2 linked regions of the Callithrix jacchus genome follow. The protein of the gene in region 1 interacts with the protein of each later gene in a pairwise test. Links are inferred from orthologs where the notes say so. Each region holds a gene or a part of one and is shown in the gene's direction. Other genes may lie near its edges.

The links.
Region 2: the proteins of MRFAP1L1 (region 1) and UBTD1 interact in binary tests that used the Homo sapiens proteins (3 or more experiments, as listed by UniProt). The two-hybrid records come from large-scale screens. The link is inferred for Callithrix jacchus from reciprocal best matches to the Homo sapiens genes MRFAP1L1 and UBTD1.

Annotation. Positions count from the first base shown.
Region 1 is NC_133504.1:186,946,420-186,950,796, reverse strand, and holds MRFAP1L1 (MORF4 family-associated protein 1-like 1), read left to right. Parts: upstream 1-1,650; 5' UTR 1,651-1,899; coding exon 1,900-2,283; 3' UTR 2,284-3,812; downstream 3,813-4,377.
Region 2 is NC_133513.1:90,379,725-90,383,229, forward strand, and holds the end of UBTD1 (ubiquitin domain-containing protein 1), read left to right. Parts: intron 1-1,638; coding exon 1,639-2,024; 3' UTR 2,025-2,704; downstream 2,705-3,505. UniProt on the Homo sapiens protein: May be involved in the regulation of cellular senescence through a positive feedback loop with TP53. Is a TP53 downstream target gene that increases the stability of TP53 protein by promoting the ubiquitination and degradation of MDM2.

The DNA of each region.
Region 1 (4,377 bases):
GAAAAGACGTAAGCAAGCACTCCTTTCTGTACCTCCCAACACTGCATACACAAAGAAGAGATCGTGTAAGGACTGCAGCAAGGTGACCATCTGCAGTTCACGAAGAGAGCCCTCGCCTCCAGAAACCAAATTTGTTGGCATCTTAATTATGGACTTCTGCCCTCCAGAACTGTGAGAAGATAAATGTCTGTGTTTAAGCCACGCAGCCTCTGGTGCTTAGTTGTGGTGCCCAGAGTGGAGTAAGACATCCATCAAGAATGCATGAGAGTTCCGTTTGTTCAGCATCTTCCCCAATGCTTGGTATTGTCAGCATTTTAAATTTGAGTCATTCTAGTGGATGGACAGTGCTTCCTCATTGCGGTTTTAATTTTCATTTCTCTGCTGAATCGTGACGTTGAGCACGTTTTCACATACATATTGGCCATTTGGATATTCTCTTTTGCTAAGTGCCAGCTTTTGTCTTTTGTCCATTAAAAAAAATTTTTTTTCTTGTTGATCTCTAGGAGTTCTCGATATATTCTGCATGAGTCCTTTGCCAGATAGAGCTATTGAAAATATCCTTTTTTTCAGTGTCCTGCTCTTTTTCTCTTAATGTTCTTTTGATGAACATCTGCTAGAACATTGGTGGTTGCAAAACTGTTTCACACACATCATCTTACAAATGCCTCTTCCCACTGACAGATATTCAGGCTGGGGCCATTGGTCTTTATGAGACTGGAAAACTGAAGCTCTCATCTATGGCACTTGTGCAAGAAGGATTCCCCCCTCTACACACACTCGTATCACTACTAGTGTGGCACTGGGTGACTAAGCCTCGCAATAGACTCCTCTATTCCACAAAGGCATCAGGTTGGTGATCAAAGCCACATTTACTAGGCCCCTGCTGACTTTCAGGTCCTGTGTGTGGTAGGTACATAAGGGTGAGCAAGACCAGAACCCATCCCCAAACAGCCTCCAGTCTGGCAGAGGCACTGAGGTACTAGAGAAGAATTCCTGTCTCTAAAGCATCCCCTAAGGCCCTGCTTGACGCCAGGCTGATAGGAAGGGCGGAGGACAGAACTGAAACAGAAGTGGCCCTTTACCTTGAAAACCTTACAGACTGCTGAAGAGCGACTAAAAACCACAGGCCAGAACCACCCAAGGCAGAGAGAGAAATCCACTCCCTACCCCCCGAGAAAAAAAGCATGAGCCAGGGGTGGGGAGAACAAGGGACCTGCTCCGTTCTGGAACAGTGAGCACACTGTGGACACACATTGCTTTGGGCTCAAATCATGACTCTGGCCTGGTTTTTACCTCTCTTATAGGTTCGTTGTGAGCGCTAAGTGAATTTCATATAAATTATTCCAAGCTTGTGCATGTTTAGAGAGTAAGCGCTGTGAACGCCAGCCCGTCTTATTCAAATATAGGGATGGGGAGGGTCGCTTTTACTTAAAAAAAATAATAAAAGTAAAAGCCCTCTAAAGAGAGCTTTCCGAGGAAGACGCGAACAAACCTGCCGCCACCGACCTAATTTTTAGAGAAGAGAGCCGAGCGGAGCGCCGGGAAACAGGTGGCGAATGGGCCGCGCGCGCCCGCTACCTGGTCTTGCCACAGGCGTGACCGTAAAGGGGCCCGGCCCTGTCGTGAAAGGGCCGCAAACAGGCGGAGGGCGAGTTGACGGCTGCGTCTCCATTTTGTTGGTCGCTGCGCTGTGTCCGTCCACGGTGATTCTTCCGATAGAGTTCCGAAGCGAAAGGCTTACAATTAAAAGGAAGAAAAAATTTAAAGATAATTCGGGAGTACTATGGACAAAGCGTGTGGATCGCCTAGACTCCAGCAGTAACTCCTGATCTGCAGTCCCCAGGGGGGTCCAGTAAGGATAACGTCACTACTGCGGTCTTAAAGAAGCGGCAGGAGGAGATGCGGCCTCTGGACATCGACGAGGTGGAAGCGCCAGAGGAGGTGGAGGTGCTGGAGCCCGAGGAGGATTTCGAGCAGTTCCTGCTCCCGGTCATCAACGAGATGCGCGAGGACATCGCGTCTCTTATACGCGAGCACGGGCGGGCGTACCTGCGGACCAGGAGCAAGCTGTGGGAGATGGACAATATGCTCATCCAGATCAAGACGCAGGTGGAGGCCTCGGAGGAGAGCGCCCTCAACCAGGCGCAGCACCCGAGTGGCGAAGCCGACGAGAGAGTGTCGGAGTTGTGCGAGAAGGCCGAGGAGAAGGCCAAGGAGATCGCGAAGATGGCAGAGATGCTGGTCGAGCTCGTCTGGCGAATAGAGAGAAGTGAGTCTTCTTGAAGGAGGACATCGGTGGTAAGGTCTGAACCTGGCGGGAGCTCGGATGGAACTCAGTAGTCGCCCTAAGCATGGTGTGAAACCGCGCCCTGTCAAAAGTTATATCCTAGGCCTGCACTCCCCGCCCCCCCCCATTTTTATTGCATCAAAAATTGAGCATTGGGAACGAAGTTGGGGTCAAGAGGAAAGAATGCGTGCTGGTTTTGTTAGGTGTTAGTGTACCGTTTTTGTATGGCCTCTCCCTCCCACACTGATAGAGGAAAATAAAAGTAACTTGGGGTTTGTGAAACATGAAAGTCAATTCTAATAGGGCGGTCCCCAGAAGTAGACCTGACTAGGCACCAAGGGAGTTTGGGGAAAGCCAAAGAAAACCTAGGCCGTAGAGCAAAATGGAACGCAGGGCGAGAACGCAGGCAAAGAGAAAGAGTAAAGCCAGAGGACATTACCTGAAATTTCCAGATTGTTCTATGAGGCAGGTATGTCAGAAGACCCTGTCTCAAAGCAGTGGCATTCTTCTGGTTGGTTAACATTTATTTTTAACATCAGGATATGGAACTTTTCATGGTCAATTTCTCCCAATTGTGCTTTAGGTTCACAGCTGAGGACTATAGTCAGCTGGTAAGGATGAACTGACACATTGAGGAAACCGAAACCGCTTGTCATCTCTGTTTTGTTTTTGTATGTTTTTTACCCCCATGTAACAGTCTCCCTTATGGTCAGTGATTGATAAGCTCGGTATGGGTTTACATCTTCAAATGTATTTGGTTCTGGAAGGATAACTTTTGTGGGAGAAATACTGTTGTAAGAGAAACGGGGCTTCATCAAAAGTTGTTTTCGCCGTTACTTTTATTCTTGTTACTTGCTTTTGAAATGTTGGGCATGACCTTGTATTTTGCTGTTACCTTTGTGACCTGATTGTTTTTTGGAACACATCAAGACCTGGGATCAGAATCTTCCGACTTTAGAGGGGCCTGCCTTGCACTACTTGGTTGAGCCTCGTGAAGAATGTATTAATGAGGCAGCTTTGCATAAAGCTGGGAAGACCGAGAAGACAGCTGGAGATGGAAGTGGTTTTGTATATATTTTGGAACTTTCGTTCCTCTGTGAGATGAAAGAGGAGAGCTATGTTTTGTGGCACATTGTCTGATGTATCTTGTGTAATCTGTCAGGTGAGTTGATTTAGACAGCATAGCTGACCTTATGTGACAAGGCAGTGAGTATGGACTGTTGTAATACCCTCACACATCACAGGGGCTTCAGAGAATGGCACTGAAGAGACAGTCTACAAAGAGCCTTGAGAGACTGGAGAAAGGAAAAGACATTATCAGGGCCTGGAAAGTCTCTTCCAGTTCATCAGGGTAGTAGACCTGTCAGATTGGAGGTCAAAGTCAAACATATAAAAAGTGTTAATTTGCCTTGAAAAACAAAGACCTCAAAAGCCTTTTTTAAGAAATAAATTTTTCGTTCACATGACCAAAACCCCTCCTGTGTGTGTTAACAAAAGAATCATAAATAAATTTTTTTGAAATGGATGTTCTTCATTGTCATCAAATGGGGTTGAACTGCTTCTAGTTAAAGGCTCTTGGTAAGCCTTTAACTGAGGGAGAATTATTTCTGGAACATGCTATGGAGATGAGCTGACAGAAACCCAGTTCTGGAGAGAAAAACTTTCGGCCATCCTCTGGGTCCAGCCCCTACCTTTCAGCAGCAGACATGTGTTTAGTCACCCAGTGGGAATGTGACGTGCTTCATATCCTGCACGTAAAGGTAAGAGATGAATGGGGCGAAGGTGTGGGACAGAAACGGAATATAAGGAACTGCAGACAGAGTGCGTGGGTGTCTTGTGGGAGCCCTGAGGAGGGAGTCACCTCTGCATAGGGGAGTGTGCAAACTCAGAGCAGGTGACTTACCTGGGCCTGAAAAGTAGAAATGAGTGAAGGCATATGAGGCACAGGGATCAAAGTGAGCAGAAGCCTTTCAAGTTATAGCACTGGGGAGATGGCCGGTGAGCTGGAAGTTAAGGAGTGTGGATGGGTTGTGGGAGACAGAGTGAAGTCGGCAGACAGGGCTAAGAACCTTTGTTAAGGACTTAATTCA
Region 2 (3,505 bases), on another chromosome or scaffold:
TGCAACCTCTGCCTTCTGGGTTCAAGCAGTTCTCCTGCCTCGGCCTCCTGAGTAGCTGGGATTACAGGCACGTGCCACCACACCCAGCTAATTTTTGTATTTTTAGTGGAGATGGGGTTTCACCACGTTGGCCAGGCTGGTCTCGAACTCCTGAGCTCAAGTGATCTACCGACCTCGGCCTCCCAAAGGCATGGACCTTGGGTTATGTGCTGGGCACTGAACTAGAAACTTCCACTGCATTAGCTCACGTAAGTTCACAGCAGCCTTATGGGGCCGTGTAAAGCAGAGGGTAACAACAGTGGCGCTCTAGAGTCCCAGACCTGGGTTTCAGCCTGAGTGTGTTCCTTTCCTAATTGTGTTGCCTTTAGCAAGGAGCTTCTAGAAGTTAGAGCCTGAGTGCCTTACAACTATAGAGGGGAGATGATTATTAGGATTCAGCAAGACGCACATAACATCATACAGTCTAGTCCCTGCACTTAAGTGTTCAAGAGACAATACACTTATTTTTCCATGCATTACATGGTACCAGTAAGGACACTGAGGCCCATGGAGAGCAGAGCTGTGCTATTTCATTCATCCCTGTAACCCCAGCACCTGGCACATGTGAACAAATGAAAAGTGATGTCCCAGGGATGAACAAACCAGTACCTGGTAGAGCCAGGATGCCAGCTCAGGTCTTCCTGACTGCAGCCCTGTACACCTGGTCATCAGGTTGTCCTAGGGAGATCTGACTGTGGGGTGGCCATGGCAGTGTATTAGTCTGCTCAGACAACTATAACAAAACACTACATGCTGAGTGACTTAAACAAGAGACGTTTATTTCCCACAGTTGGGGAGACTGGGAAATCCCACATCGTGGTGTTTGCCGGTTCAGGTTTTGGTGAGGACTCTCTTGCTGGCTTGCAGGCGTGTCTGCCTTCTTGCTGTGTCCTCACATGGGAGCGAGTGGAGCATAACACAGTGCTCTAGTGTCTCTTCAGGAACTGTAAGCCAGGGCAGTGGAGCACACCTGTCGTCTCTGCTGCTCAGGAGGCTGAGGCGGGAGGATCGTGTGAGCCCAGGGGTTCAAGACTAGCCTAGGCAACATAGGGAAATCTTGTCTCAAAAGAAAAAAAAAAAAGGCCGGCCAGGTACGGTGGCTAACTCCTGTAATCCCAGCACTTTGGGAGGCTGGGAGGGGGGTGTGGATCACAGGGTCAGGAGTTCGAGACCAGCCTGACCAACATGGTGAAACCCTGTCTCTACTAAAAATACAAAAATTAGCCAGGCATGGTGGTACACGCCTGTAATCCCAGTTACTCAGGAGGCTGAGGCAGGAGAATCGCTTGAACCCAGGAGTGGAGGTTGCAGTAGGCCAAGATGGCGCCACCGTACTCCAGCCTGGGTGACAGAGCGAGACTCCGTGTCAGAAAAACAAAAACAAAAACAAAAAACAACCATTCTTTCAGATCAGGGAATCAGAGGGGCAGGGCCCCACCCCATGCCTCATTTCACTTTAATTATTTCCCTATAGGCCCATGTCCAAATACAGTCACATTGGGAGCGAGAGTTTCACCATATGAATTTGGGGGAACCTAAACATTTAGTCCATGCCAGTGGACCCCCAAGCTGACTCTGACAGCCCTGCCTCTCCCACAGGCACCCTCTGTGAATGCTACGACGAGCTGGGCAATCGCTACCAGCTGCCCATCTATTGTCTGTCACCACCTGTGAACCTGCTGCTGGAACACACGGAGGAGGAGACCCTGGAGCCCCCCGAGCCCCCACCCAGCATGCGCCGCGAGTTCCCGCTGAAGGTGCGCCTGTCCACGGGCAAGGACGTGAGGCTCAGCGCCAGCCTGCCTGACACAGTGGGGCAGCTCAAGAGGCAGCTGCATGCCCAGGAGGGCATCGAGCCGTCGTGGCAGCGGTGGTTCTTCTCCGGGAAGCTGCTTACAGACCGCACACGGCTCCAGGAGACCAAGATCCAGAAAGATTTTGTCATCCAGGTCATCATCAACCAACCCCCACCGCCCCAGGACTGATGGGCCCACGGACCCCTGGAAAGAGGCCCTGCCTGGAGCACTCGGCCCCCACCCTGCTGCTGCCTTCCAGTGCTGTCATTTTCTTCAGGGGCCCTCCGCTCGGTGTGGCTGGTGGGTGAGCAGTGAAGGGACCCTGCCTTTCAGGGCACTGTGTGCCACCAGTGCCCGGTACGCAGGGAGCAGGCGGCCACACTTGGGCCTTGCAACCTTGTCAGAGAAAAGGTGAATGGGGCCCTCGCCCTGCCTCCCCTCTGCAGCAGGTTCGAGCCACGAGGGCTAGCCTGGAGGCCTCTGGAGCCCAGATCTATCATCTGGTGCTGCCGGCTGTGCTCACTCCGGTTTTCTGCTCAGGGTCTGAAACAGCTGCTGTCTCCCTCGTCTGCCCCCTTCCCCTGGCTCTCCCCTGGGCACAGTGCCACTCCCTGGGAAGGGAGGGAACCACCCGTGAGCCCCAGGGCTCGGGAAGCCTGAGGCAGGCTTCTGCCTCTCCGTGCCCCCAGCACAATTGGCAGAGATGAGGCAGGTGGTGGACGGCTGGACTGTCGTGGCAGGGGTCTGCACAGTGTCATGTCCTAGCTGTAACCCAGGCAGTGGGAGGTCTGCAGCCTGGTCACGGCCCCCACAGCAGGTCCCTGTGGACAGACATATCTGCATATTTATCAATAAAGCCTTTTGCTCCATCTCGCTTGCCTGGCATTTGACTGAGTTCTGCAGCTCTGTGGGACCCCTGGAGCTGTTCTGGTATGAGAGCAGGTGGATGCCTGGCCTCCCAGCTGCTCTGGGCACGAAATCTCCAGCAGGGAGAGCCTGGAACTGCCAGGCTTCTGGGCCCTGATCCCAGCCCCCTGGTGTCCTCATGAGTCCTCAGGAAAAGCCACTTAACCTCTGAACCCCCTTTGCTTTTCTTTAAAGCAGAGCCATGCTGCCTGCCCTGCCTCCTCCATCAGTTGCTGGGAGGATTAAGCAGGAAGACAGATGTGAAAGTGGTTGGAAGGTGAAGACAGCAACTCAGGCAGGAGGGGCTGGCTTCCAGCTCCTGGAGATGCTGTGCCCATCGTGATGTTAAAGCAAAGTCACTGGCAGATTTAGATGATGAGCATATGTCAGAGGTTTGTGTCAGCTTCCCAGCAAGCAAGCCAGGGAGGAAAAGGAACCAGTTCCTCCTGCTTCCTAGGGGAATGCATGCATATCTGAAGACAGGGGTATCTTATATAAGGCTATTTAGCTAAGGGAAGCCACCAGCCAGGTGAGCCTTGCAGAAGCGCAGGGCCAGGTGTCTGCAGGTCCCTAGCAGGTTAATCTCTAGCCTACAAGTACCGAGTGTGGAACTGAGCAAGTACAGATCTGCTTTTGTTACAGTGGGGAGTATTTATCCTTCTCAGTGAGCATGGCCAGCCTCCTGGCCAGGAAAGCCTGGCACTGTCTGGGCCTGACAGGGAAACCCCTGGAGGGTAGGAGGATCGGAGTAGCTGCTGTTCCTC